Styela clava: one gene and its partner. The protein of the gene in region 2 interacts with the protein of the main gene of each other region in a pairwise test. Links are inferred from orthologs where the notes say so. Each region holds a gene or a part of one and is shown on either strand. Other genes may lie near its edges.

The links.
Region 1: the proteins of protein phosphatase 3 catalytic subunit alpha-like (region 2) and calcipressin-2-like interact in binary tests that used the Caenorhabditis elegans proteins (3 or more experiments, as listed by UniProt). The link is inferred for Styela clava from reciprocal best matches to the Caenorhabditis elegans genes tax-6 and rcan-1.

The regions. Positions count from the first base shown.
Region 1 is NC_135257.1:2,744,911-2,760,679, reverse strand, and holds calcipressin-2-like, read right to left. Parts: upstream 6,982-15,769; 5' UTR 6,822-6,981; coding exon 6,666-6,821; intron 5,030-6,665; coding exon 4,859-5,029; intron 4,400-4,858; coding exon 4,228-4,399; intron 4,034-4,227; coding exon 3,891-4,033; 3' UTR 3,533-3,890; downstream 1-3,532. Other genes in the region: SWI/SNF-related matrix-associated actin-dependent regulator of chromatin subfamily A containing DEAD/H box 1-like, read left to right, coding at 242-291; BCAS3 microtubule associated cell migration factor-like, read left to right, coding at 12,484-12,575, 12,691-12,742, 13,448-13,630, 13,950-14,034, 14,712-14,778, 15,433-15,617. UniProt on the Caenorhabditis elegans protein: Inhibits tax-6/calcineurin A phosphatase activity and thereby negatively regulates calcineurin-mediated functions.
Region 2 is NC_135260.1:10,288,136-10,304,290, forward strand, and holds the start of protein phosphatase 3 catalytic subunit alpha-like, read right to left. Parts: upstream 7,476-16,155; 5' UTR 7,252-7,475; coding exon 7,197-7,251; intron 3,607-7,196; coding exon 3,488-3,606; intron 794-3,487; coding exon 712-793; intron 1-711. Other genes in the region: uncharacterized protein LOC144429597, read right to left, coding at 11,471-16,155. UniProt on the Caenorhabditis elegans protein: Calcium-dependent, calmodulin-stimulated protein phosphatase. Dephosphorylates arrd-17. Dephosphorylates daf-16 at 'Ser-319' which regulates daf-16 nuclear translocation. Dephosphorylates calcium permeable cation channel pkd-2 at 'Ser-534'.

The DNA of each region.
Region 1 (15,769 bases), on a different chromosome or scaffold from region 2:
GATGGATACCAGTTTTATATTGGTAAAAAGGAATCAAAATTAGCAATGAAGGACACACATCCCATGAACATTAGGGATGTTGGAATATTTTAATATAATGCTCTATACATTTTTATACATATTTGTCATCTGATACTAAAAGATGAAGTATATTGCGGCTTCCGGAATTATAGCTATACTTCAATGATTTGGTCAGGATTAACGAGTGCTCAAGTTTAAATTATATTTCTATTATATTCAGATGACAGCAGTGACATTGCATCTTTACTGAAGAAAACTTTATCTAAATGAGATGTTTCATGTTCATTGAAGTTGTTTCTGATTTTTTTCTATATCAGTTTTTTCTCGCCCATCCATTTGTTCTTCTTTCCATCTTTGGGCCATGTATGAATCGGCATTGCTTTTTTCTAGTTTATGTTCTTAGTGACAACACGACATTTGCTTGCTTGCCAAATAGCTGGTTCAATGTCATTCTTTTAGTTAATTGCTTAACCACTGGATTCATTTTTCGCTGACCGTTAATTATTTTTGTAAATAGATTTCTAGTAAGTTGGTAGAACAACCCTAATGTGGTTATGAATAGTTATTATTTTTACAGTACCAGACAGTAAAATTATGATTACGTTTGGCTTAAGTTTACGTTTAAAATGTACAGAGGCCTCAATACATCTTCTTTTTTTTGCAACTCTCATTTCCTACATTCACCTTCTTTACATAATGCACATTGTTCTTTTTAATTGAGTTTTTGTTGTTTTTCTTCCTACTAATAACCTGCAATCATGCAGAGAATACACACATATGTGTCTCCGTTATGTCATAGTCGGGGCAAATACTTTCCATAATTTTTGGAAGGGCGAACTTGGATCGCCAACCGAGAAACGGGGAGCCGTGTCGACACAGTGTTACGTAACAATAGGCTTTTCATGTGATTCTCTCAAATATTAGAATGTCATACCAGTATCACGTGACCTATACCTCTTGCTTAGACCCGGAGCTACCGCGTCACTAAACCGATCACTTGAATTCCGCGAGAATTAGTCCGTCAACAGACAAGAACTACAAATTTGAGAAGCCTTGTTTGGGTATCGCTCCAATTCTTAGTTTTACATAGAGTGCCTACACCGCTTCTTGAATTTAAAAACGTGAAACACGATAGCGAGTTATTCTGTGAAATTTCTCGTATATTTTGACCAGAATTGCCATTATAGCCAATTTATTTAATCATTTCAACTCAAAATAACATTCAGGATTCTTGCAGTGACGACTTTTTATTCAATATGAAAATAATAGGGAGACAATAGAAAAGTAAAATCATAAGAAGAAGGTCAACTATAATCTTTCGGTGTCAGTAATGATAATATCATTAGCCCAAATTTGGGACGGGTAGTTTACAAGCGGTGATGAGGAAGATCAAGGACGGTAAGAATCCGTTCTTGTGAAAAAGAGAGCGGGCGGAAATGTAGCTTGCCAGCATTATAAAGTCAAGCGTTCTGGACGCCTGTTGTGTATATATTAAAAACATTCGATTCGATAAAATTATTCAATTTTGCCCACCTTTTGGCGATATGTAGGAGGAATAGTTGTTGCTTTGTATCTGAAGAGCTGAGGCAGTTACCGCAATTAGGTTATTGGATTGTGTTCCATAGAATTTCTATAAATATTTTAGCCTTTCCTATTATTTTTGTGGAGCATGCAATATGAGTGTATATAAATTTGTTCCGTAAATATTACCGTTATTGGCGAACCCTGTAAAATGTTAGGAATATGTTTTGTACTACATCATTAATTACATGGTATGAATTTGCTGTTTCAGATCCTGTGTTGTATAAATATTCGCGAGATATTTAGTAAACTTGTCGAAGGGTGGTTGGTTCATGTGATCACTGGCCAGTTACGGCTTTCTCGCCCGTTTGGGTTTGAATGACTGATTGGTTAGCTGTTATTTAGATCAGTGGTATTCAAACTTTGATGTACACTGTACAGCAGTGGTCACCAAAGTGTGGGTCGCGACCCCAAGTTGGGTCGCCTTGAATATTTCGGGGGTCGCCGAGTGTCCGGCGTTGTATTCTTGTTATATTTTTCATTATTCTATTGCGTGCATTCTAAACTGAGCTGACTAGCACTACATAGCAAGTTTGGGTATTCTGAATTACAGTGATATCTTGTATAATAAGGCTATTGTGTGACGGCAATATTAAATTGTAACACGAAATCCAAAGCGTGTGATAGAGTTTTTGGGAATGAGATTTACTGTGATTAGTTTTTAGTGGTTTGAAATATTTTTTCTTTGCTATACCTAGGAGTCACAAGCTTATCATACGTCATAATTTTTGAAATGGGGTCGCGTCTCAAAAAGTTTGACGACCACTGCTGTACAGTATCATTGCCCCTTCACATCACTATCTAACCGCCCCTCGACAATACAAAGAACGTAAGGCTATTAACAAATCAATTAATAAATAAATTGATTATGTTATGTTTCATGTGGATGTTCTTGGTGATCTTCAACAAGCATTTGGAGACATTTTGGTCAGCTGCAATTCATATTCAAAACAAGTTTTATGATAATTCTGAATTCCGAACGGATGGCCGATGAATCACATTTTTTCACACAGATCAGAAGTTTAATTTTTAGCTACGCCCGAAGACGGACCGTTTGAATATTTTCTGCGCCATTAAACCAATTGCACTTAGCATCAACTTTTCTGCGTTTTGTTGCCATTTGTCCAATTATAATTAAAATATAGGCTCATTCAACGAGTAATTGGGAATTATATACTTGTTAGGTTATAATATAATTTAGTCTACACGTGTCTCAGAATAAATTCTGTTACGTAATGAATATAATTGTCAAAACAGCTGTTTTGTTACTATGATTCAGTGAAGCGTCGCGGGCCTGATTATATTGCTCCGCGGGCCGTAGGTTGCCGACCCCTGCTTTACGCCCTCGGTTACGGCTTCCTCTACCATCAAGTCCATACTTCCGAGAACAAACGACTGACTGAATAATCGACTTTCCTCTCCGGCGGGATAAATAGGTAAATTCTATCCTATGAAGCCTAATCACGCCAGTAATATGGTGAAACGTGTGGTCGTCCAAACACTGCGGAAATGTAACATGGTGAAACCTTCATTAATTAAATTTAGTAAATTCCACTACTTCGCCCCCGATCATAGTGTTGGTGTAAGGGTTTGTGATTCTTGTTGAAAAATGGGCACACGCAACAAGTCCAGGCAGATATGAAATATATGCCGGTGGTTATGTGTAGTCAACTAGTCATTGACCAAGACATCCTTGTATTGAGTAAACTTCTTGATATATCTTGTTAACCGATGCGTATGCCTCCTCCGATCAAGATTATCAAGGATGGTTCTACCTTCAATGTTCCAGCCTCTCGAATCTCGAAGGTTTTTTCACTTTCCACAACAATGTATTTTTGTCTGGAGGCGAGAGTTGATTGTATGCTACAAAGCATAAACGTTAAAAGTGCACAAAATAAAAAAAGATTAATATTACTCGGTACAAACCATGCGTGGTGTAACCAGGAATTTATTGACGTTAATAAATTGTGTGAAATGTTGAAAATGCAGGTACACAGTACAAGCCAAGTCCAACCTGTTCAGCGCTGATTTGAAAGTATTGACAACTTGTATATCATTGGTGTTTGATTTGGACTTAGCTTCACAGTGCATTGGTGCAAAAATAAATGAATGATAGAAATAAAACGTAGTATATAAGAAATTTGCTCTGCTTCAATATTTACAAGTTGCCGATACATGATAGATGATCACGTTATGCCCAGATTACAATAGACAATGATCGTAAATCTGAGTAGATTCAAGTGTTTTTTTCATACATGCTTTTATTCTTAAATATTATTATTTTGTGGTTAACTGGGAGCATCAGGTCGTCTAGTTTGTTGTATTTTTAATTTAGGCTGCCCCACAGAACTTCCTGCTTCATCCTCTTCACATGTATGGACAACTACGCTTGGTGTTGACAAAGTTCCTGGGTGAATTTCATGGCTCTCACCTGTGTGAAAAATGTTGAGCATTATTCAAGTTATTTCAATTGTTTTTAAGTACAAGTAAATCTAAATTTTACTAAATAGCTGAATTAGTATCCCCATGTTAGGCATTGTTTAAATAACAAAAGCCTCACTGACATTTATGCATTAAATCCTTTATTCATTGTCATTCATTAAGCCAATTATGAAATTGTCTTACCAGGTTGAAGGGAAGCAATAGCTGATAAAAGATGGTAATTAATAACAGGTTCACTTTCTGGTATTGGTTCCCAACCAACTGGCGGTGATGCAGGTGGTGAAATTAAAAACAATCGATCAGGTTTTGGAGGAAGAAGACTGTCTGATGACTCATCATCTGAACTTGACTGAATCTAGATATTGGCAGTTTTAAGGGTTTTGGTATACATTGCAGCCATTTTTACTAGTAAACAAGATTAGTTATAGCCTATATCAGAACCACTCAAGAATACTGATGGAAAACACAACATCACTTATTCTTTAAAACCACAGTGCAAAATCTATACAACACATTACTGCTACTACATTATGATGCACAATGCATACTAATCAATTGTAGTGCGAGTGTTTCAGACAGCTTGTTTACATGCAGTCACTCCAGAGAAGTGCATCTAGTACGGTTGAAATATCTCAATATTTTTAATATCTCAAAAGCAAGCCTAGTTTGGCACGTCTTGATAAAGAGATAGAGTCGGACTAACACATAAACTATAAAGGCTCGAATCTGAGCTGGCGAGTTCGTCATGGTAACCACTTGGTCATCACAATAGCAAACAGATTACCACAAAACAAAAAATAAATATAATCAACACCTGAGCAAAATATATTTTAATTGTTTGATTCCTATATTCATATCCATGCAATGAGACTCGTGCCTGTGCGGCATTCATAGATGATTCAAAATAGACTTTAACTCGTCGAAAATTTTGGAGATAGATAAAGTTTGTTGGATTCAAATGACTGAATAGATTCTGAAATTCTTCCTGTAAAAATTAAACAAAAATTTCCGTAAAAATAGTTTCAGGAAGTATAAATTCAAAAATACCTTTAGTAAAATCAAGTTGACAAACTATAGAAATGATGCAGAAATATTTATACTGCTGTACTGATATAGCAAATTATGTAAAACCATATATTTTTTATTCAGCTTCAGAAACTAGTTTTATGATTTCCACAATCAGACATTATGAAGAGTCAAGTCAACTTAATCATAATTTGACTCAACCTCATGAAAATGGAGCAAACAGCAAAATCAGCTTATTATAATAATTCTACATTGAACTGGAAATGATGAAAAACTCATACATGGCATAATATTTCCTATTACAGTATTTGTGGCAGCATCAGAATGTTGAGGTTGATTAACATGTTGAGGTTGGTTATCCCATGTGTTCGAATCCTGTGGGGATAATTATGTGCGAGGGGGTTAATGGACCCCCCACCTTTGTAGAGTGATTATTATGGCTTCCTCCATCATGAAGTCAATACCTGGCCACTGCAGGATAGGATTTACATATTTATCCCGGGGAAGAGGAATATCGATGAGTCTTAATCATATGACAAACCACAGCCGCTTGTTTTAGATGGCGGAGGAAGACGTGAGCGGCCAGCCGTTGTGCGAACCACACTATGGCGGAAAGGAGTCCAGCAATTCTCTCGCACATAAGTTTTACTGCAGGGTAGAGGTGGCAAGCATATTACTAATGCTTAGCATAAACAGATGATGCTCCACAGCACCGAGCCTATGCTATATGGCTACTGAGTTATGCCATTTCTGCATGTCCTAGGCTACAGTACCGGTATGCTACGGAAATGTTCTGTCAGTCTGTACTTAGAATAACAAATCAGCAAATAAGTATAAGTTTATTTCGACTCCATAAACAGCATAACAATAAAATGATTGATAAAAACGGATAAATCAAACCTGATTATGAAATCAGAGAGAGCAAACAAAACCTTGAATAAGGTTTGGAACGTACATAATACAATAATAGAATATGGAAGGTATTGCCAAATACAAGTGGTAAGTGTTCACTCACCTAACTGCCTAAAGTTATATCAAATATTACGGTATATATAATTTACTGTCAGACTGTTCTGCATCAAGAAGATATTGCGGGTCTAGTATAGTTTAGTACCACAAGTACTTCCAGTGGGCGTAGCATAACAATTTTTGCATATGTTATTCCTAACCCCCACCTGACTATGCCATCTAAAAATTACGTTACTCTGACGTCACCATCACGTCATAGGGGTTGCCAAAGTATAATTATGATCGCTCGAAATGGCATCTGCGCCGCCGATAAGAACTTGCTAAAGCTGGCGATCTCTCTCCTATCGTGATCGTTGCGACGAGAAAACGAGAGAAATAGCTTGCTCGATTTCGGTTATCGTCTGCACGTTTTGGACGACCATCCGCATACTTCGGTGAGCCTTATTACGCCACTGTGACGTCGGAATGACGTAATTTTTCGGTGACGTAGTCAGGTTGGGGTTAGGATTGACATATGCAAAAATTGTTGAGCCAGGCCAACTAGAAGTGGCTGTGGTACTAAACTATACCAGACCCAATATTGCAATGTACAGATAGCCAATAAAGTATTTAATGTACAAGCATACCTTAACGTCTTCTTCACAGAACACCATATTCGGAACATCACACACAAAAACAGAACTTGGCAAGTCCTCAACATCCAATTCTTTCAGGAGCAATTCCGCACTGGCACAGCCATTATGAGCCTCCCTCTTAGATATGTCTTTCGTGTCAGGTAGCATTGAATATGTTGATATTTTATAAACCAGTATACAGTATCCTCTGAAACCAAGAGTATTTCCCTTTTGAAAACTGAATTATAGACTCAATTCATCCAATACTGTAATAGGCCGAGATCAACGTAACTGAAAAGCCATAAAGGACATAAAACCATGGTTAACTGAATATAAAACCTCAAAATGTAAACAATAACTAAATTAAATACTAATTCTACGCGGATAAATTTAGATGAAAAATTGAAAATTTCTTTTACAGTAATTCACTGTTGCATACAATGGTATTTATATGTTATGTATAGGTATCATATGGGAGAAAATCTGAAAAGGATGGTTTAATTATTATTATTAATATATATATTTATTGCCACATCGTCTTGTCAACCTAACATATGGGATAATTGACTAAAGTCAGTCATATACTTGTAAACTTACAAGTGTGTGGCAGCCGTTTACTTATTAGCAATAGCCAAGAAATTCGGAACTCATTCAACATGATCTAAAAATTAATGCGATATTATTTCGTCAAATATTTTAATATAAATAAATAATTTATTTTGAACACTTCCATATAAAAAAAAAAATACAAAACAAAGGACAAACACACAGGACGGCAATTCTTTGACTTACTTGTCAAGGCTTCATTACAGCCTCTGCGGATCAATCTGAACTATTGCTTTCCGTTTGTTTCCACGGCTAATCTCGGATGAGCCGACTTCAGCAACTGTTGTCTAATCTTTATGTACTCCGATGTCCCCGGGGCCGAAGCACTAATGATATATCTTGATGATATTATTTACACAATTGTGAATTCGAACTTTGAATAATAATTTTTTTTAAATAATGCGATTTCATGGAAAAGGACATCTATGTTCAGAGCAAGTCTGCCGTTTAGTTTAATAAATACTAATGGCCGTTGTTGGTTCCTGACCTTATTAGATATTAGAACCTTGGGTGTGGCTGCTCAATAACCAGTATTGGGTCCCCGCGTTTTCCCTCACCCATTGTAACTAAAGATTTATTAATGTATCGCCATCGGTATTAGTTATTTGCAATATCGACCATTTTTTTGGTATCGGTATTTGTATTAGTGTCGGCTAAATGTAGACCGATACTTCCGATATATTTTGCTTTTAAATCTGATTACGAATGTTTAAGAATATGTTAGAGAACGAATCTTGAAATTATTTTTTTGCGGCATGACATTTGCGGTATTTCTCCTCCGCGAGTAGAAACTAAAACTTGATTCTGACTTGTTTTTAGTTATTATTAAGCCAAACTAGCTCAACTAAATTTGCTATTTTCGCTGCCAAATGTTTATATTGACATTTGTAATATTACAGGGAAGTTATGATGAAATATATCAATCGAAGATTAGTAGATTATCCAATGTGTGACATACAAAATACGACGTTATATTGGCACAAATTCCTGCGCACGCAACGCAATATATCAGTTTGATATGATAAGTGAATATTTATTCACTTTACCATCCATAGTAACCGGATCGTATGAATTTTCTAATTGAACAGCGAGATTACTAGAGTCGATGCACAATGCATCAGAATTGATTAAGGTAATGCATCTGTACACGAGGTAATAATCAAATAGTATCAGAATATCGGCAATATCGGTTTTTTGAAATATCGCCTCGTCGGTATCGGCATATTTTCATTTATATCGGTAACGGCGGCAAAAGTGGTATCGGTTCTCTAAGTATAACCGAGTTAAATTTTTATATATTTTAATTCCGTATGCTATTTTTTACTGAGGGAAAAATAAATTGACTATATTCAACAATTTCTGATATTTCGGAAGCGAATTCCCTGCAAGACCTATTTTTAGTATGTTATTGCTGAATTGAAAAACGATCTATAGTCGACAATCGTTTTGCAAGTCACAACGGAATCTACATTTGTAGGAAGTTGGTGTTCAGTTTTGTTTGTATCGGTATTTTTACTCATTTCTTGAATTATCCGCTTCATATCCTCTTAGCGCAAGGAGCACGTGCCCTCCTATTTCCTCACTACCAACAACTCAAACGAGCTTGATTAACTTCTGAGTCGCACTTCCGGCACACGATTGTTTATTGTAAACTGCACTGTACAGTAATCAACCAATATTTTAATCTAATTCTAAATATTTGGCAGCTCTTATAGGGAAAGCGATGTTAGAAATAATGGACGAAATGCGTAATTTACAAACTTAATAAATAATAATAAAGAACAAGGATAGAAAAACTCAATTAAGGACGGTTGGCAACCCTAGTTGGGCAGCGGTGCGTGCGCTAACAGCCAGTACTCTGTTCCCGTACTTGTAGTTTATAAAAAGAGCTCATATAATTTACAGTTAAAAGAAATTGTTTTCGGCGTCTTCTCTCACCATATAATGCATTTTTTTTTAACATTTCCTTTAATTTGTGTATAGTTCGTACTTTCAGCATGATGAAGAAATAAACTAGAATATCGGTTAGAAACCGAAGACTTATCGATCGAAGGTTAGGGGATCTCCCAAAACAGTGGTCTTACTCCATAGTGACACTGTGTGTCCCATCACTAATTAATTAATAACTCGCTAACTATAAGACATAATCCATCCAATAGGCTTCTGATCCGAGCTATAACGAATGCACATGCAAAATTTGAAGCAGATTCAACCTCGCTTCCGTGAGATATCGCGTGCATCTAACATACAGACAAACAGACATACACAGACAAATACCTATCAACATACTTACCGATCTTAAGATTGGTAAACTTATACTTATATACTTATACTTATTATAAGTAAATACTGATTACTGAATGGCAAGACTGGACAAATATAATATTTAGTGGGCGTCGCAATATGACCTTTCAACTCTTACATGGTTGACCGCCGACAAGTTTGTTTTGTTTTTGTCAGCTGATGAGCTTCAGGAAAAATCGCTTTGTTTTGTCGTCCTTGTGGTGCAATTGTAATTGTTGTCTGCCTGAACTATATCTGCACAGTGAAAACGCACGTATTTACTGGAAGAATAGTTTTGCGAAAAATGAGTGGATTAGCAAAGTTATTTGGAGGAGGTAAAAGTAAACAGCCAACACGAGAGGAAGCGATCCAGAAATTGAAAGAAACACAGGAAATGCTTGAGAAAAAATCAGAATACTTGGAGAAAAAGATTCAAGATGAACTTGCTACCGCCAAAAGACATGGCACTAAAAATAAAAAGCTAGCCTTAACAGCACTTAAAAGAAAGAAGAGATTTGAAAAACAACTTGGTCAGGTGGATGGGACTTTATCAAATATTGAGTTTCAAGTGGAAGCGTTGCAGGATGCACAAGCAAATGCACAAACTTTCAAAAACATGCAATATGGCGCAAAAGCATTGAAACAGGTTCATGGAAACATGTCAGCAGATGATGTTCATGAGGTTATGGATGACATTGAAGAGCAACAACAAGTTGCTCAAGAAATAAGTGACGCATTGTCAGGTCCTGTAGGATTTGGCACAGACATTGATGAAGATGATCTCATGGCTGAACTTGAGGAATTAGAGCAGGAAGATCTAGACAGAGAATTGCTGAATGTGGGTGCAGCAACAAATGAACTTCCTGATGTCCCAGTATCGGATCTACCTACTCCAGTGGCAAAAGTGAAAGATGATGAAGCAGAACTCAGGCAGCTTGAAAATTGGATGGCAAGCTGAATATGAAAAAAAAAATGTCTGAATGATATGACAATGTTTCAGTATGCTTAGTCACTGAAATGATCACTTTTGTCATTTGTCATTTGCTTGCACTATCAAGTCATCTGCTGCAGTTCTTCAGAATTTTATTATTCAACAATTTCTAGCATCCATGTCTACCCAATTTTAACTGTTTTTTTTTCTTGATATTATTACAGACTATGGTGATTTAGCAGAAAAAATATGATGTTTTACAGAAAAAAATATTAATTTTCATATGAATCAGAAATAATGATATTTAAAAAAGATGGCTATATTCAAAACCAAATTACTATCCTTTTATTCAATCAATTTTAAATATTTGCAATCCAGAATACTAGGTCATATATTATGTTGACATCTTAGATAGAGGCACACTTTTAATGACATATTGGTAAATCAGCAGATCCAGTGTGGATGAATTAGACGTTTGCTCATCATGTGTTTGATCTGTCAAGATATATTTCTTGCATGATGGTAAAGATAGTACAGAATTGTACTTTATAAGCCGGATCCGTGGAATTAGAATAATAAATTATATGTGACATAATTATACAACCTTTATATTTTATCGGGGAAAAGTTGATAATAATAATATACTTACCAGTAGGTTGTATGAAAATTCTTAAATATTTTGAAACCCTTTTCTACATTACAGCTTTCACAAATTCGCAATTATGTGTAAAACACCTGGCCTCTGCTTCAGTAACTGAATAGTTTATTGACCAATACTTGTTTTTATCAAGCAGCTTTATAACTTCATACTGTCTTAGATCATTACAGAATTAATCAATGCTTATGTTCTGTATCAGGAGAAGAATTGTATTCTTTTTTTCGAGAATTTATGCATTCATATATTATTTTTAATTTCTCACTTTAATTTTTCAATATGTCGCTTTTTTCTATTTTATTTCGTTTCAAAATTTCCATCTGTTTCTAAAATAACATCGAAGGGTTTAATTGTCAAAATGATTTGTAATATGGAGAACCTGTCAAAAGGTACTCAAATTTTTTCATACTATTCATGGTGTGTTATTCAGAGCTTAGGCTTGAATGTTCGTTATTACTTGATTATATTTTAATGAGATCAATTTGAATTTGCAGCTCAGGTATATGTTATATGTATATTTACCTGAGTTGGGATATCTTGTTGGGACATTTTTATAGTTGTGCGTGTATTGTTAAAGTGCATAATAATAATAATAATAGATAATCAGGATATTTTTTTGGACTGCCATAATTAGATATATTTTTTCAGTTGGAATCTGTTTAAAATGCAAGTATTTCTATCACCGTTGTTTTCGTGCATAGGCGATTTGGAAATGCATGTTTTAAGTTTCAGATAGTCACTTTTTTAATGTTGTAATATTATTATATTATTACTCAAAAATATGTTTAATTTTTTTCTTAGAAACTGATAGCAAAATTAAAATGCTAATGTATCAGATACAATTCACACAACAACCAATTATTCCAGCTATGTTATTCAAAGGTATATTGAATTAATTTTTAATGCAGGTTTATTTAGAAATTATGTTTCATGTTCACACAATAAAAACATGTTTAAAATCAATAACTCGCTAGGAAGAAAAGAGTCATAATATGTGAGAATTATATTTTAAAATATGCTTCAATGCAAAAATTGACGGATCGCCTCAACATTTGACAAACAATAAAAAACACGATGACGATGATTCAGAATTTGTTTGAGAAGTGAAACTAACTGATTATTCTTTCATTTGCATAACAGAATATTTTTTCCCATTTACTCTCATAAATGATTTATGCGTTAGATTTTTGATTGTCGAACCTACTTATATGCCAATATTTGTGGAACATATGTTACACTGTAACTTGCTGTAAGGTGATGAATCACTTTCAAAAACCTTGCTAGCTTCTATTTCACTTTTATATATTGTAACTGGTAAATTGCTTTTATTATATTTTTAGAAGTTCAATAAAGACATGTCTGGTGGTATTACAAATTTTGAAACGATGAATTCAAGACGTCGAAGAGACGCGCCTTCGGGTCATGTTGTGCAAGCACAACCAATGAAGTAAGTATATTTATAAGTTCAAATTCAATCAACTTACCCTTGAGCAACCAATACACTTCATGAACATGTTCGATTTGGGGATTGCATGGATTTAATTTTATTTTACTCTTTTCAGAGACAGTTCTTACATGGAAAGCATGGTGAATTTTTTTCATGATATTGGACAAGTAAGTGTTATATTATAAGATTTCCATATTTATATACAATATAATATCTGCTTGTACATTTCTTATCACTAAGATATAGGGAGCTTTGCATAGAAAGATAAGTCTGCTTTATCTATCTTAACATGTGTGAGATAGAAATTGGTTGATCACAGAACCAGGAGCTGGAGATTTTAACCAAATATGTTCACATGATTAAGGTTCTCAACTATAGAAAAACTGTCTACATTATTGCTTTATATATCAATATTGTCCAGAAGAGCGAGTAGGCCTATTCAATATCTAACATAGAAACTTGCACTTCTCCAAAGGATATAATCCACCATAAGTTTCAGTTAGGAAAATAAGTTGAAAAGCTCTTGCACCTCTGATTACCCTGCAGTGATTCACAGATAGAATTCTGTGGGGGATGATCATGTGCGATAGGATTTCTAGACTCTTCTTTGTTTTTGTAGCGAGTTTCATATATATGGTGTAGTCTTTCTACACAAGTCCATACATCTGCAACGAATAAATGGTTATCCATTCTCATACCTGACATGAACTGGTAACCATATAAGAGGGTGTTGTTCACCATAATATGATTAAGTGTCTTATCAACTTTTCTCTCCCTTGGATAAATATAAAAATCCCATCCTACAAAATTATTCATCTGAAAGTAATATATTCAGCTGTATTCGTAATGTTGTACTCTCTTATATTCAATAGGTATATTCTAATACATCTCAAGCAGAAGAAAAAGAAACTGTTCTGTGGGCAAGATTATTTGATTATAAGAATGCTCTGGATCCTGAATTTGACGGTTTTACAAATGGGAGTAGAAATGATGTTGTTGATTCTTTGCTGTTGATCCTGGGATATAAAAATGGAGTACAAGCATGGATAATATGTGTAAGTTTGATTTAAAAGATGCCTTTTGTTCAGGGATGATCATAAAAGTCTTCAGTATTCTAATTAATAAATCCAGTAACTGAACGAATTTTCAAAATATGATTTCAAATCTGCAGCATATCTATAGCGTTTGAGGAAATTTTATATTCCAAGCATGATAGATTGACAAATTGATTGTTGTAAAAGTACTAACATAAGCAGTTTCATTTTGGTGTACTGTCTGTCAGATATGCTGTTCAGACAATTTCGGACAGTCCAGTACTTTCAACATGTGTAATATTCTTCAATAATTTTGTTAAAAAACTCCTTTTGATCCCAGGAAAATGGTGAAGTACAAGAGATCTTATCTTTGCGTGAAGGTCCTGTGAAGACAGCTTGTCTAGTTCCTCCACCAAGCAGTTCAAGTATGTTTGTGAATCCTATATATGTTATTAATTAATTTGATGGCTTCATAAATGTAACAAGCTTTGTCTAGACTAGAGAGAGGGTCCCAGAGGTATGTTCAAATTCTAGTGTACAACTGTACATTGCATTTCAATCTTCGATATTCTGATCAGCTTGAGTTGGTGAAGTAAACTGGCATATTATTTTGTTATTGGAGTGAGAACTGGAGCTGTATCTCATCGGGGCGATATTCAAAATCTAAATTTGATAGAGTTTGAATTTAAGGCTTCTAATGATTATAATGGAGGTTGAAATTTCTGTCCGAAACTCACAAAACATCGAGTTGACTAAGCACTCTCAACAAACAGGTATAAAAGTCTCACATACTCCAAAGTTGTTGTTATTTAAATTTGATTTGTCATAGTTCAATACTAGAGTCAGAGTCAAAACTTCCTCCAATCTGAAGTTGAGGACAAATTCTGTTTCAATTTGGACCAGGAGACATTTATTAAATTTGAAGTTGGAGTCTGTTCTAAATTTTTCTTGACTCAACAGCCCTCATTTGGATTGTTCAAATTTAGGCTGTGAGAAAGCATCGAGAAAGATGCTGTAATTAATATTCTGAATCATTTGAATGCTTTTCACCAATCTTACTCGTAATCTATAAGATAAACATAACTGGTGTTTTTAATTATAGGTGATAAAAAGCATGATGAATACACAATATCTCGTCCTTTGCTAGCTGTTTGTATGGCTGCTGACAGGTTAGTTCAGGAGGTGACTTGAGGAATACTGATTAATGCGCCTCAATCTTCCAATATTTCATACCTGAGTTGGTAGCTTGATGATGCATATGCCCATAAACAATAGTCTACATCACTGCAAAAGTAAATTTGTATTCACTGCCACTGGCCACTGCAAACTTCTATTTTCCTTTTCAAAGTTCTGCTGAGGCCGACTAACTATACAAATATATAACTTGGTATCAGGTATGGCTGAGACCTAATACCTTTATTTCGTGATACATTCTAAAATAATATTTTTAAATATTAAAGATGAAATATATTTCGTATTAAATTAGTCTAACGACGAGCACATCTGGTAGTTTGATCCACATTTTATTTAGTTTGAAATAAAAATGCAGAAAATTGAGAATAAACAATGATTCGATTGGTCTCTTTTTTTTTACCCTTTTTTCTGAAATTGAAAAACTATGAGACTGCAATCTTTTAATGAAACTATTTCAAAAGAATTGCATTCCTATAATCGAGAATTTAAAAATCGAGTGTAATTAATTTTGAATTCTTTGAGTATTTAATCCATGTTAGACATTTTTTCCTGTTGTATTATTTGGATATTGAGGTTCGAAATCAATTATATTTATGACTGCTGTTAATAAAAGTCAATCATTGTTTTAGAAAACAGCTATTCACATCAGTGAGTATATTCTCTTTGCGAACAAAGGATAAAATACGACAGTTAGAATTCGATGAAAATGTTGAAGAGCTGAGTACTGGATTGGAAGGAATGATCATTGTCACGTTGAGATATGAGATAAAAGCTTTCAACACTTTTGACTTTAAACTAATTTTCACAGTCAGAGGTTGGTATATCGTTATGTTCATTTTCAATTTGATGTTATTTAATATCTATCTTTTACAAACTATCTTACACATATTTTTCATGTATATTGAAATATTGGTCATTTGATGGATTGAAAATTTGATGGATTACTAATGATAAATGAGGGAAATG
Region 2 (16,155 bases):
ATCGAATTTCTAAACATTTCTATGATCCCGTTGTCAATGTATTGAAAAATGGCATTGTGATCCTCAACAATGTCAATCAATCATGTCCATGTGACAGGTATTGAGGAGTAGAAAATTTCTTGGCATGTATAAAATCTCAAGGAGACCAATTTTGATTGAAAAAGGCTGGCAATTGACTTGATTTTTCAATTTATCGAAAATTTAGCACTCCCGTAGTAAGTGCAACAAGATGACGGGCGCCTGAACATAGTATGTGCATCAGGTTAGGGTTAGGCCATAATTTTATTCCAAATTTCCTTATTTTAGTTCTATTACGAGTTCGGGGACTAGTCAAGCGACTCCCGTAGTATTTGTACCTGAAATTATGGCCTAACCCTAACATGATACACATACTACGTTCCGGTGTCCGTAATCTTACAACATTACATTACATTCTGTCTTTTAAAGTTTTAATGAAAGTTTTCAAAAAATGTCAGTTTAATAAAAAAAAATTCAAACTGAATAAAATCAAAAAAAAAAGGTTTCCTGAAAATTTAGATACCATAATCTAAAATGTACAGTCTTATTGATTTTGCTTCATTTTGAATTACCTTGGCATAATTGAACTGAAAAAAAAATATCAGAATTCGAAACCATCCATTATGAGCACTCTTTATATTTGTGATTCTCTGAAGGGACAGACATTTATCATAACAATTCAATAGATCTTACCTGTAACTGGTGCCTGGATATCGAGCATTGTTTTTTCTCTTCGTAAAAGTTCTGCCCCGTCATTTATTATCCTTAATGCCGCCTAGACACAAAATAAATATATTACGATGGGCGCAATGGTTTTGTGGTGAAAGCGTTCGACTTGGGTTTTTTGGCATCATAGGGTAAAATCTCATACACATCACCTCAATGTATCACCCAGAGTGTAATCAGGTAGGCAATGATGAACGGAAACGATTTTGATTCTTTCAAAATTAGGTACGTCCTCACATAGCAATCACTGCTTGTACAGTGACTTATTTAGAGTGAAAATAATATGATTTCAATTTTTACTACCCCAGTACTATTCTGTAGTCTTTCACAACTATTAGACTATAGGGTCACTTTTATTCTTTCATAAACTTAGGATTATTCGATAAAATAATTTGCTTTTATTTTCAGAATAACCATTTTTATACAATATTACCAGTGTCAGAAGTAATATGGCTGACTCAAATTATGAATGGATGTATACTTTTCAGCCAATAAATTTTGTATATTAATTCTTCAAGTGTGTAATAGATTCAATTTTCTTGTTTCTAACACACTAAAATCTTGATGCATGCCAAAATACATCTTCGGTTTCTGATATCAAGAAAACAAATCTGAAATTGATGAGATTTAAACTGAAAAATTCTCAAGTTTGTTTGTACTCCATTGCTTTAACAATACTTGTGTGAATCATTAGTCAAATTTGCAAGGACAAAACTCAACTTTTATTAATGATTAGACAACATCCTGTAGTACTTATGACAGGTTATTTGTTTAGTTTCTAGTGAAACTTCTATTTTGTAAGTAGGGCAATTCCAAACATGAAGTGAATGTCGGGTAATCAAACATTCGATCTAAGTAAATAAACTGATAAAAGATCGTTATGTCGACAAATACGGATGGCTACAAACAAGGACGTCCAAAATTAACATACCGGTTTTCATAAATAGTGAACTATTAACTTTTTCCATAAATAGAAATGTTTGGATTTTGAAAACGTTTTACAAAAAGCACAATTTTCTATGGCGAAAAAATATCCATGAAACGCATTTGCCAGTAACAAACGAATCCTAGGTATTCAAAATTTAACTGAATTTTCTAAAGATCCCACATGGAAAATACTCCCAATTATGTGGAGATCACAATCAAATTATTTCAAATCCTTAACAGAGATTTGCTTTTAAAATAAATACATTTAAAACTTTAAACATATCATAGAAATTCATTAAAAGAGTTGAGGTCTAACACTGCTGAGCGACACTGCTGCCCATATGCTTCCGTCCTTTTACACAACTTGATGTAAAGTAGGCGAACAAAATTAGTTACCTCCATATTGGTACATACACTTCTGGATTGCTGAAGTTTTTTTGAGATATAAAGCAAAAAAGGGCCGATTTACAGAATTTGAAACTATGCAGATGAATAAATATGACATCAATCATTAAGTTTATGATATAGCGCTATTAGTTAATCATGAAAAATATTTTAATAAAAATGTCAACCACAAAAGCAAAATACTGTCATTCACTAACCAAATCAAAGCGGTAAAAAATTCTCAAATATATTAATAAAATTTACCTTAAAAAATACAATTTATAAGCTCATGATTTTTATAAGGTTTACTTTCAAATTTTAGAGATTCGTATAAAAAATACAAGTAACCAATGAAATTGAAATAAGCTCCCATTGGCACATCAGGTAAATGCTTATTCACATATTCAGGCAGCAATCAATGTTTTGTTGGCAACTAAATAATTCATGAGGAAATGTTTTAAAAACTTTCCAAACTGGTACAAAGTTTAGAGTTATAAAGGTTTCGTATTGCAAGTGGGAATAGTGGATCTATCAATGACAGAACTGACATACGAAACCAAAATCATTTTTCATATTTTGAAACAAAGAATCAATTTTTTAAATATTTTTGGCTTAATATAATCAAGAAAATCCAATTTCAAGATATATTGTACATTTTCAGATACTGTCATTGTTTCAATATGTTTTACACAGTCAAAAATCTTATCACTTGGAATTTTAGCTAAATAGTCGAGTGTTATTATAAAATGTCAAAATATCATTTCACTCCCAATATTGTTCTGAATATTAAAAAGCAACTGGATATCATTATGGTAGAAATGCTGTGTGGAAAATCGGTTGAGAGTCATTGAAAAATATATTCATTTACACATAAACTTTTCTGGAAATGAATTTGAATACATCAACGAAGCAGTTATTTCAGCTAACGCTAATGACTCTAACAATTCAAAGAATTAATGGGTGAATAAGTCCATGAGAAAAAGAACAGAACCATAACCACATTATCTGCTTGAGAGATTATATATTGTCTGACAGATAAAGTTACTCCAACTGTGTTTCAACAACAGTAGGAGATAAAAAGAAGTAAGATTTTGATAAACTGTAGTGTAGCCAGTCAAAATGCAAATAACACCCGAAAAAATTTCAACCATTACCAAATTATATTCAAAGGCACATTGATATTGACAGATCAATTGGGACAAATAATTATTGGACACAACATGGACCTATGGGTCGTTTCGTTATTCAAAATCACATCAAATCAACATGAAAATTAAAAATTATGTACTCGTGTTCTGAATTCAAATCTCCCAGGTACAGTAAAAGATTTGATACTACTTCGTTTTAGCCTTCGTGTTCATAGATTTGAGCATCGCTTTCTTGTTTGATTATAAAATGTGAACAATGCTAATTGCAAACCATAATAACATACCTCTTCACAAATTCTTCCTTCTTTTACAAAATGTTGTTTCAATAGGTCAACTCGTGGACTACCATTAGAATCGAAAATATCATCTATAGTGAGCTTGTGACTAGGTGGGAACGGCACACCTGAAATATACAAAAGAGACAAATGTAAAAGATTCAACTTAACTAATTTGTTTCACAAAACTGTCAGAGAAAATAAACTAAAACAGATGATTTGATTATTGCAAGTATAGAAGAAATGTAACGACTTCTGTGTTGAAAAGTAAGGCAACATAAACAAGCTTTAATGATCTATTTTCACGTGGGAGTGGATCTCATTAGCGCTCGATGGTGAAATTTGTCATTGCACCAGATCTGATGAAAATTTGGTCAAATTCAAAGTCATCCGAGTCAAATGAAGATAATATTATAACATTCAATTCATATTGACCTTTATTAATCGATAAATTTTGTTACAGAATAACGATAACGGCAATAGTAAAGATGTACCGGTACATGATTTGGATTTAGCATCTTATGACAACAAAATGTGTGATGATTGAGCAACCATAGTATAGTGTTGGGAGATGATACGGTATTTGTAGCTGTACAGCTACGCCAACCAGCTTACATGAATTTAAGCTTGGAAACAAATTCTATCAATGCTGAAAATGAATCATCTCGAATGCTACAATTGACATAAATTTTCCTATCTATTTCATGTATAAGGCGACCAAAAAACAGAACCCAGGTCATTTAAAACATATTCTAGAATCTAGAGAGAAAATAATTTTTGTGAGAAATGTCCTAGATTACTGAAGCTTTTGGGCACAATCATATAATAACGAAAGTTAAATGTCAAATAATTTTCTACAAGTATTTAAGAAGTTCATGCGTTGTTATTTGGACTCATTCTATATTTGGTGCAATTTTCTGTTTTTATTTGAATTTTTGATTAAGTGGTTAGTTACATACAAGATACATTCAGAAAAAATTTATATTTTTTTTGAGTATGAATCACGAATGTGGATATCAAAAGAAGCTTTGTACCAACGGACTAAAATCATTCCCCAATGTCTCAATAATAAATCTCCTAACAAATCATAAATCAATTTCTTGAATGCTAGGAAGACTCATGAAAAATTCATAGCTGCAAAAGGATCGAACAGTAAGTAATGCATCAACTTCTCTAAACAAAAATAAAAACATTTTCCCTGAACTCTGTCCATGTAAGGTCAACAAAGCAATAAAAACAGTTTTCCATTAAAAAGTAAATAAATATAATGGTGGTCTAGCAGGGATGGCCGAAACCAAATAATTCCGTATTCCGAATGCATTCTAGAATGATCTATTCAGATCATCCACTGATCCTGATAAGCCAAATTAGATCTCCTTCTGGTTATCAATGATATCTATTGTACCCCTATTTATTCTGTTAGCAACAAAAATACTGATCTACTATTTCAAGATTGAAACTTTATACTATAATGCAAAGCTGCATATACTTTTCATACGTGTATAATACAGTAATCATAGCTTGATCGTGAAAAGAAAATATTTATTCCATGAGTCAGGCACATTGTATATACAAAATGCAGTATGCCATACAGACAGGTTTCCTCTGATAAGTGTTGAAAGTGTTCTTTTCATAGTGTTATCATTACACATTTGCCTTTTTTGTAGTTCCTTATATGTTTTTTTTGCAATTTGTATACATTTTTCCAGATTCGCCTTTTTTAAGAGTTTTTCTCAGGTTTTAAATTTGCCTTGCTTTTATTTTTTATATATTTCATCAAAATTTACTTTGTTGTGAATTTTTTCTGAGATTATTTATTTTCCGATATTCTGTGCGAAAATCCCCAAATATGTTTACTATCAACTTCTGCACAGTCAACAGTTGTTACGTTTTACGCTAATCATGTACCAGGGTATTGGATGTCGCTGCTTGAAGGCCTTTCGAGGTCCCTCACAACTCTATCACTCATATAATGTTATTGGTATTTGCTGTATCAGTTTCTGTGCATGACTGTGCATTTTCTGTGATCGTTGAAAAAATAAACAAAAGACTGATTTGCTGGTGATCCTAGCAACAAATGGAACCAAGTAATTACCATATTTGCATATATAAAACTGACAACACCATGCATGTAATGCGGTTTTCGTTATGGCTAATAATACCCAACTACAAAGCTAATGTCAGTAGGTAATGGAACAATTTATGTTATAAAATTGATATAACTGCATTCATTCCAACAGGTCATTAGCATCGATTTTATAATTTACAACAGTGATTCACGAATTGCATGTGGAAAGATCATTTCAAGTTCATCACGAAATATCAATCTATTCCAAAAAAAAAAAGTTTCATCTGTCCGAAAAAGGACTTGACATAAACGAACAAATATGTTAAATTCAACAATGAGAAAGAAGTATGAGCTAGCTTTATTGGACATTCAACATGCTTTACGACTGCTATTAAGAAACACTCCCACAAACTTCTCTTATTGTGGTTATTCCAATTAGTCGAATGCATTAAATTGAAATCATCTAAATCAATAAGTTTCCATCAGTCATTACTGAGCCAGTTTAAATGAGAAAATACCCCTTTATTGGGGTGCTTAAAAGCCAGTTAATCAATAATTTATTCTTACAAACAAAAACAAAACTTAATTCTACTTTTTGAAGAGTTTATTCCAGTATAGCAGTATATGACTCTAACACTGACCATGTCATATTATATATTAAAAAGAGCTTCAATATAGTTTGGATATCTTGATCCTTGGGGGATGAAACAGAGCACACATGAAGGACACATATAACCATTAAAGAAACACATACACATAAACAAACAAAATCAACAGACACGCTTGGATAATCTATCTAAATACAAAGTAGGAGAGGGTCAAACAGTTGAATAAGTAATGAATACAATGGCTCCAGCCTCCAACTATGAGTATAAAATATCACCCCATGCTGAGATGCCGCCGTGTATATTACGAATTCGACCAGTTGAATAAGGTTAAATTTCACAAAGAAAAACGAAATGATACAGCTTATTTATCACTGTAAGTATCGACTGCTTTAGTTCAATACTTCAAAAAGGGTGAAGTAAGGACATATATTTTGTCGTCATATAGCAATAAAGGGTCGAAGTAAAAGTTGGTAATTTATTGCATATCCAAGTATCTACTTTTGTAAATATATAAAATTTAAGAATTTCCTCTATCAAAGGGATAATCAAGTCAATAAGGAAAAATTATTTATGCACACATCAAATACAACATAATTTTGTTATTAAAAGTTCAAAACAATCTGAATTTTTTGTGTATTTTTACTACACTATATGTATCGTTTTCCAATTTTCTATCAAACATTATTAATCCAAAGGTAACTAATACATTTTGTGAGTCTGTGACAATAGTGAAGATCATAATATTTTAATGTTGGATCTATTTTAAACATTGAGAACTATTTGACATAGGATTAGATACTTTAGTCTATCAGTAGACATTCGTTAAACCATCTGAAACTTTTTTGAAGGGATGCTGGCGATAGCAAGCATATGAAGCAAGATTAATACTCCTAATATTAATAATGGATTGGGGTTAACCATAAGAACCAATGGGTTTGTAGAATGTTGAAGCTCGGCTCATGAAGCACTCATGCCCAGTCTTTTGAATGGCTGTCGTTTGTAAGATGTCATATAAATAATGATAAAAATAAATTAAACTCACTTGACATGTGTCTTTCTGTCGTGGACATTTCGCCATCATTTTCATTTGAATTCATTGCACAGCACAGTAGTTCATAAATTACCTAGTTGCACGAGGAATAGATAAACAATAAATCCAAATCAAAAGAGTGATGCAACTCACTTCCTGAACCTGCTTACTGCCTATTGAATATCTATAGAAAACTGTTCCAGAGTTCAGTGGGTGGAAAACTACTTAGACTAAGGTCGAATACGATAAACAGAACTAACCAACCATAATATTCTGGAAAGCAAATGTAGAAGAGAAAACGTTTTTAAATAATATACCAGTCTATACCAAAATGATTGAGTTACTACCGGTATTTATTATTTCAATATATTATGTTCGTATTTTGGTTGACAAAAATATTAGAAAAAAATAAAAATATTCGAATACCGGTAATACATTTCTTAAATTGAAGACACAGAGAGATATTATAACTTGACAGTCCTTTTTCACAATATACCGTACATTTTAAATCTAAACAAGGTACAAAAAGGGAAGTCCCTTGCTGTATCAAGTGGAAAAAAAGCATCAAATGCTCTTTCTCCCTCCCAAATGTCTATCATTTTTTACAATCAATAATGCAAATCTTATACTTTCAAAGCATTTTTGAAGCTATTCTCAACACCAATTTCTCAGAATTAAATATATCAGTACGAAGATTCTTTGATCAAAATATACCATCTATATTTCTATCAATGCAAAAAATTTATTCCGTATGAAAGAATAAACAATTTATTATTCCTTGCCAGTAACTTGAAACACGCTGTCACACTCATAGCCAGAACAAAGAGGATTACTGATCTTGACAAGCAGAAACAAACAATAAATCACATAATCAATATATAGATCTAAAGCAATTCACACCTATTGCTCACACTTGAATATCATGACTGTGATCTGTCATCACAAATTGTCAGCAAGTTAGGATTATATTTCGTCAATGACTAATCACCGTACTGCATGCACAGGTTATAGGCGCAGCATCGATACTTAATCATGTAACAGGCGACTTCCTGCGCTGTGAGAGACATATGCGTCATGCAGTGTATGCAGGTGAATATTATCACATAATAAAAATATGATAAAATGATCGATATGGTAATACTACAGCACACAAGTATATTACAATATGCATCAATTAGTGCTCGAATTCCTGATAAAAAAAAAGAAAAAGCTATAAATAATTGCTGGCATTCATAGAAACGACTCATTAATATACAACCGTTCGTTCCAAGTAGAGAAACTTACAATATTCAGTATAATCATAGAGACGAATACACAGTAATTTCATAGTATATTTTTTTCACCAATTCAAATCAATATTTAATCACTAAACTTAAAAATTTTATAAATTGACACACTATTGATTATACCACAATGCATAAAATATGATATATAATTAGTAACATCCGCATCATATATTTAAAATTTTGGAAGTGACCAGTTATCGTCTAAATCTCCCTAGACTGCCTCAAATTGTTTATTGCAGGGGTGTGCAACCTGTGGCCCACAAAGAAATATTTTACGGCCTGCGAAACAAGTTTTCTAAATTATTTTAATCTGGTACGTGTGAGTAATTCCAAGCCTATACCGGCACCCAATTTTTTTTTTTTATCTATGCCCATGTCATAAAATAAATACCAAAATTTTTGTGTCTGCAACTACTAGAAGTCTATGTTAAATAAAGGTACAACCCGCAATTTCACCCAGTTATTTGTATTTAGCTCTCCTGTATTAAATGTTGCACACCCCTGGCTTAGTGGATAGGGACAATTATTTACTATATACTTCTAATCTAGATGAGTAGGCTGTAGGCGCCAAATCGGAGTCGCTATCTAGCGCCAACACGCGTTAACGGACGGTTGCTCTCTGAATCGTTTCGAGACTCCACAATAAAAATACGCGTACAAATCGCCTTTTGAAATTTCTTGTTGTCACGAAAAAAGTACGTTTAAAATGCAGTGTACGTACGATTGAAATTCAATTACAGTTGAAAGTACGAATCAGTATACAGTTGTCAATTTGTACGGTTTTCTAAACAGAAATAAAAAACAGTCTCAAAATATGTCACACAATAAAACTTACTAAACATCTAACTAATTAGCACTTAAAAAGCACAATATTTATCAATTTAGAATCACAAATTAATTGAAAAAGCCAAAAATACAGCACAATTGTTTACCTTAAAATTGCAGTTTCATATCACTAAATAAAGCATAAAATACGATAAATCAAAGACTTACTTGACGATGTAGCCTTCAACTCAAAGAACAACCAATTATTTGACTGGAAGCTATTATTTTAACTAGCTCTATATTTGATCAGATCTAACAAATAAACACACAAAATATCATGAAATAACTACTTGCAACTGTTTTCCTAGCCTACTGAGAATAACGAACATCTAAACGCGAATAGAGCTGGGAAAGATTTAAAGGTAACTTTTACTAAATATATGACTTAAAAACCCGGTTCCTTGAGACCTTAAACAACTAAAAATCTAACAAAACTGGAGAGCAGATGATCACTGCCAACATTCCCGCCCAGAAAGCAGCGAGCGAAAGAACGAGCGTTGCCAGAAATAAGCAACAACACAAAGAGAGCTGGCCTAGCAACACAGGACAAATTAGCATAATTCTATGTTCTAATTTGTTAACAGTCTACAAATCGGGGTAGGTTGTCATCAGAAAAATATCATAAATTACACTAGTACTAAACCCTACTTGAGCAGCATTAGATATGCCCAATACAAACCTAGAAATAACTACAAAACAATACTAGAAACATGGCAACATCAATGTGTGAGGTTATGTTGCAATCGCAAAATACGCAAATCACAAAATCAGTCAAGTGTGAAATAAACGAAAACAAATGCGAGGCGGTTTCATCCCGGCCCCTTGGAAATTTAAAATTTGCATCCACAAATTTACAAGATTTCCACACACTCAAAACACATCAAACACACTCAACAACCATGCCAGAAAGAAATTCTTTAAAACGAAATTGAAAAGTTATCAAATCATGCTTCATCACACTCACGCAGAAGTACAAGTTTTGTCACAGGGCGTTGGAATATGGAATGTTTGGTTTGAACACCCACGGAACGAACCCTACCCTTGCTATCCTGGTAAGTTTCAATGACTCGTCCCAGCAACCAAGTGTTTCGTGGTTGATTCTCATTCACAACAAGTACAATGTCATCCTTTTGAAGATCTCGTTGCACTTTGTTCCATTTTTGTCGACATTGAAGAAGCGGAAGGAATTCCTTTCTCCAACGTTTCCAGAAAACATCCGCAAGATATTGGACTTGCTTCCAACGCTTTCGAGCATACATGTCCTTGGGGTCAAACACACCTGGAGGAAGCATTGGTTCCTCTTTCATCAGTAATAAATTGTTTGGACTTAATGGAGTTAAATCTTTAGGGTCGTTCGATACCGTAGTAATCGGTCGTCCATTCACAATATTTTCGCATTCGCACATAAGAGTTCTTAAACTCTCATCTGTCAACACTTGTTCACAGCAAATAGCATTAAAGATTTTCCTTATAGTTCTAATCTGTCTCTCAAACACACCACCATGATGCGATGAAGCAGGCGTTTGAAATATCCATTTGATGTTTTTCTGTAACAAATAATCATGAATTTGGTTTTTGTTCCAAGATTTAATCGCATCTCTGAGTTCTCGTTCACCAGAGACGAAGTTAGTGCCATTATCAGATCGCATCTCAATAACTTGACCTCTCCTTGCTATGAATCTTCTAAGAGACATAATGAAAGCACTAGTGTCCAGACTGTTTGCTATTTCCACATGTACAGCGCGCGACACTAAACAAGTAAAAAGCACACCATAACGTTTAACCTCGCTCCTTCCTTGCTTGATCAAGAATGGACCGAAACAATCCACTGCAACATATGTGAAAGGAGGTTTATCCGGTATCAAGCGATTCTCAGGTAAGTCCGCCATTAATTGAGATTCAGGAGGACGTTGTCTCTTCCTGCAAGGAACACATCCTCTCAAAACACTTCGCACCAAAGCATTACCTTTTACGATCCAATACTTTTGATTTATTTCAGCTAACACATATTCACGACCGTTATGACCAGTTGTTCTGTGGACATAATCTATTATCAAAGAAGCAATTTTACTTTCTTTTGGGATAATAATTGGATGCTTTACATTAAACTCAACATTTGCTGCTCTGATCCTACCTCCTACACGAAGTAGTCCGTTTTCCAAGAATGGTTGTAAATTACATGAAAGAGCTTGATTTTGGAATTTGTTTTCCTTTGAACAAAACATCAATTTCTTTTAAAAAGTATTTTCTTTGTTCATGCTTTATAATTTCCACCTCAGCCAGAATCATTTCTTCTACAGTTAAAGATTCAACAGGTCCAGATTTCAAATTGCAGTTTGATCCAACAATTGACTTTAATTTGTTTATGTAACGTAACATCCAAGCAATTATTTTCTTCAAGTGATGCCAATTTGAATATTTAGCAACGACATCATCAAGAACACATGGTTGATCTTTCACAGCAGCAAAACATTTTTCAGGCAATTCTTTCTTAATTTCCAAATTTCCATCAGACACAGAATGTAAGAAATCAGGTTGTTCAGGCCACTCATCATGACATTCCCATAAAAAACTTGGACCAGATTTCCATTCCGGATAATTCAGGAAAGCATCCACTGACATACCTCTGGAGGCAACATCAGCCGGATTCAATTTAGATGGCACATAATACCATTGGTTAATTTCAGAAACTTCCTTGATTAGATTTACTCTGTTAGCAACAAAAGTTTTAAATACTTTATCCTCATTAGCCAAATAGCGTAACACCGTCGTACTATCTGTCCAAAAATAAGATGCAGAAATTTCAATTTTAAGCTCATTTCTGAAAAATTTATCATTGCGCGCAGAAATAGTTGCTGCACACAATTCGAGTCTAGGTATTGTCGAGCCTTTCAATGGTACTAGCCTAGATTTTCCACCAAGTAACACACAGTGTATTTGTCCAGATGAATTCAACATCCTGAGATAAGACACAGCGCCATATGATTTTTCAGACGCATCTGAAAAATGATGAATTTGAGTTTCTACAACTTCACCGTAATCCACGGGTACAAAACATCTTGGTACATTAAATTCCTTCAGTTTAGGCAACTCAGAAAGCCATTTTAGCCATTCTTGTTCAACTCCCGGCGGTATTGGGTCATCCCAACTGAACTTCCGTCTGCAAAGCATTTGCATTAGAACCTTCACAGGCTGAAGCACTGGTTGTACCAGGCCCATTGGGTCAAAAATAGAATTCACGACACTTAACATGCCACGTCTATTACAAGGTCTCTCTTTAGGATTAACAGAGAAACACAAGATGTCTTCATCAACACTCCAAATCATACCTAGAGCATGTTCAAGAGGTAAAGCGTCAACAGCTAAATTTAAATTTTTCAAATTCTTTGATCTCATATCTTCAGGAATTTCGGCAATAACATTGCGATCATTACTGATCCATTTTAAAACTTCAAATCCGCCTTTTGCGCAGACAGCAGAAATATTTTTCACAAGAGAAACGGCACTTTCGGCATTTGGTCTTGAATCGAAAAAATCATCCACATAGAATGAATCGTTAATTGCATTTATGACACTTATATCAAAATCATGTTTATTGTCTTCGGCAGATTGTTTCAATGCATAATTACAGCAACTTGGGCTGCAAACCGTTCCAAATGGATAAGCTGTCATGCGAAATTCTTTCATGGGTTTATTTATGTCGCTGTCTTCCCACCAGAAAAATCTAAGATAATTTCTGTGTTTTTCGGGTACCTTCACTTGTAAAAACATTGAGCGAATATCTCCCTGTACAGCAACCACATTTTTGCGAAACCTTGACAGAACACCAACCAAGTTATTGGCCAGGTCCGGCCCCTGTAACAGAACGTCGTTAAGGCAGATTCCTTGAAATTTAGATGAGCAGTCAAATACTACACGAATTTTCTTCTTTTCAGGGTGATAAACGCCATGATGATTAATATACCAAATTTGACCTTCACTTTCAGTAGAATCAGAAACTTCTTCTGCATAACCCATAGTTAACATATTTTCCACAAAATCTTTATATTCGGAATAAAAATTTGGATCCCTAATAAATCGACGCTTGAGCGATTCGGTTCGCTGTTTCACTTGCAAATAATTTGAAGGTAATTTCGAATTTGGATTTATAAATGGCAAATCAATTTCATAGTGTCCGTCATCTTTCAACTTAATAGATTCACTCACCCTATCAAGGAACATTTGTTGTCGAGGAGAGATTTCTTCCTTTTCATTATTAGCCGAATCAATGACATCCGTGCACATTTGACACAATGGATGCACTTCATTTTTCACAAAATAATTACATGGATTACCTTGATTGTCATTCTTCTTAGGTGGACAACTAATCATCCATCCAGCAACAGTCTTAGATGCAAAATAGTCATGAGGGCCATAAGCAACTTCCAATGGTTTGTGCAATTTAGGATTATCCTTGCCAATCAAAAGACCCACTTCAGATTTAATATTTGGTATAACAACATTCTTAAATTCAATAAATTGATCCACGTCCTTTTGAGAGGGAATATCAGATTGCTCAACACCGATTTTATCGTTTGAAAATAATGGCGTCAATGGCACATATTCAGATTCATCAAAGTTCGAAATTTCAAGACCTTTCACAATGATACTTTGTTTACTTTCAGTTTCATTATTTATTGTACGAACATTCAAATTTATCTTGAGACCATCAACATTTAACTTGTGCATAAGAGACTCACTTATGAATGAGCAAGTGGAACCATTATCAAAAAATGCGTTTGTCACAATAGCATTTTTGTCACCATTAACACGTACTTTAACAGGAATCACATTGAGCAAAACCTTTTCATTTTTAGATGTATTAACAAAAGCATTGAATTTGGTTTCAGTTTCAGGTGTTTGAGAGCCAAAATTTTTCAAAACAGGAGATTCATCACCTTTTGTCCCAGAATGATTAATTTGGATTTTGTCTGGAGGATGAAGAATCGTTGTATGTCTTCTCTTGCATCCTTCAACCTTACAAGGCTTTGTTCGCTTACAGTCTTTGCTCCAGTGACCAGGTTCGAGGCATGAAAAACAAAGCTTTCGGTTCCTGACAAACTCAATTTTATCTTCATAGCTCAATTCACGAAATTTAACACACTGATTCAAAAAATGATCTTTATTGCATTTAACACATTTTTGTACGGGCCTATCAACAACTGATGTAGCAAATGTTGATCTATAGGGTTTCAGACCTTTCACAGGGTTCGATTGCTTTGGAGGTGAGTTCGAATCATTAGAAGGCAGATTCGTGTTTTCACGAGTTCGTTTTCGAACATAATTCGCCAAATGTTCAACTGTTAAATTCACCTTCTTTTCATTTAAAACGTCATCAACTACAGACAGCCACCCTGCCCTCCAAGAATGAGGCATTCTCATGGCCATCTTATCAATTGTCATAATGGATACATTATTATATTCAATTCCTATCAATGTATTCATACAGGACATCAGCTCTGCGGCAAACATTGTTAGGGCATCTTTATCAGCCAATTTTAAATTAGGACCACAGGAAACTGAATTTATACAAGCTTCCCCTATTTGATATTTTCGTCCATATGTTTCATCAAGCAACTGAATTGCTTCATTATAACATTCAGATCCACGATGCTGGCAACCTTTGACCAGTGCATGAGCAGGACCCTTTGTATATTTAAGCAAATACACCATTTTTTCTTTAGGGCTTTGAACTCTACTTCCAATTACAGTGTCAAATATATCCAAAAAATATCTGTACTCCGCAGCATCTCCAGAAAAAGTAGGGGGTTCCGAAGGTGGTAAACCAAACTGAGGTTGGGGTACATAAATTATTTGAGGGTATGACAAAACTTGATTAGGCATAACAGGCATTTGGGTCACACCTGTCAAAGGGACATTATTTGACATAGTCACTACCGGTACAGAACTTGCTTTAGGAGCAGTATAGATTGGAATCTGACTAGCAATTGAAATAGGTGAGGTGAATGGTAAACTCACACTCATTTCAGGTATTCGAGTCACATTGTTCATAGTACACGCACTCACACTCACCCGGGGAGCTACGGTACTATCATTCAGCATATAAGAACAGGTAGTAGCCACTTCTGAACTAACATTCAACACATTTCTGGGATTCAATGACCCAGTAGTACAAATTATTTGTTCGGGCACATGAGACACATTCTCAACCGCAACATCACCATTCAACACACTAACATTTTGTGGATTGCAAATTTCAATTTCAGAGGCAGGAATAACCGACTCACCATTTTCCCCGGCGATTGTCCTCCTTCTACTCATGGTACTCAACATATTCGTTCTGGTGACTTGTGTGATCTGCGGTTGTGAAAATTGTGCAGTTGTTACAGGTAACATTACAGGTGCATTTTGTACATCAGGTTTAGGTTCTGATGGTGTAGTTACAGAATTTTGTGTCGATTGTTGATTAGTAGTATCATTAGCAATAACAGCAGATGGGGATTTATTAACAATTATCCCACTTTCTGCTAAAGTTTCATTAAAGTCCATGTCCAATCCCAGCAGTTCTCGTCGACTTCTGTCTTCGATTTCTTGCAGGGTTCTTTGTTTACGTCGATCGAATGTAACGTTTTCGATCATTCTTTTTTGTTGTATTTCCTGGCGACGACGCATAAATGCTTCTCGCTTACGTTGATTTCCAATTCTAATTTCTTCCTCTTGACGTTGCTTTTCGTGCCTCAATTCTTCTTCTTGACGTTGCTTTTCTTTTTTCAATTCTTCTTCTTGACGTTGTTTTTCTTTTCTTAATTCTTCTTCTTGACGTTGTTTTTCTTTTCTTAATTCTTCCTCCTCAACTTGTT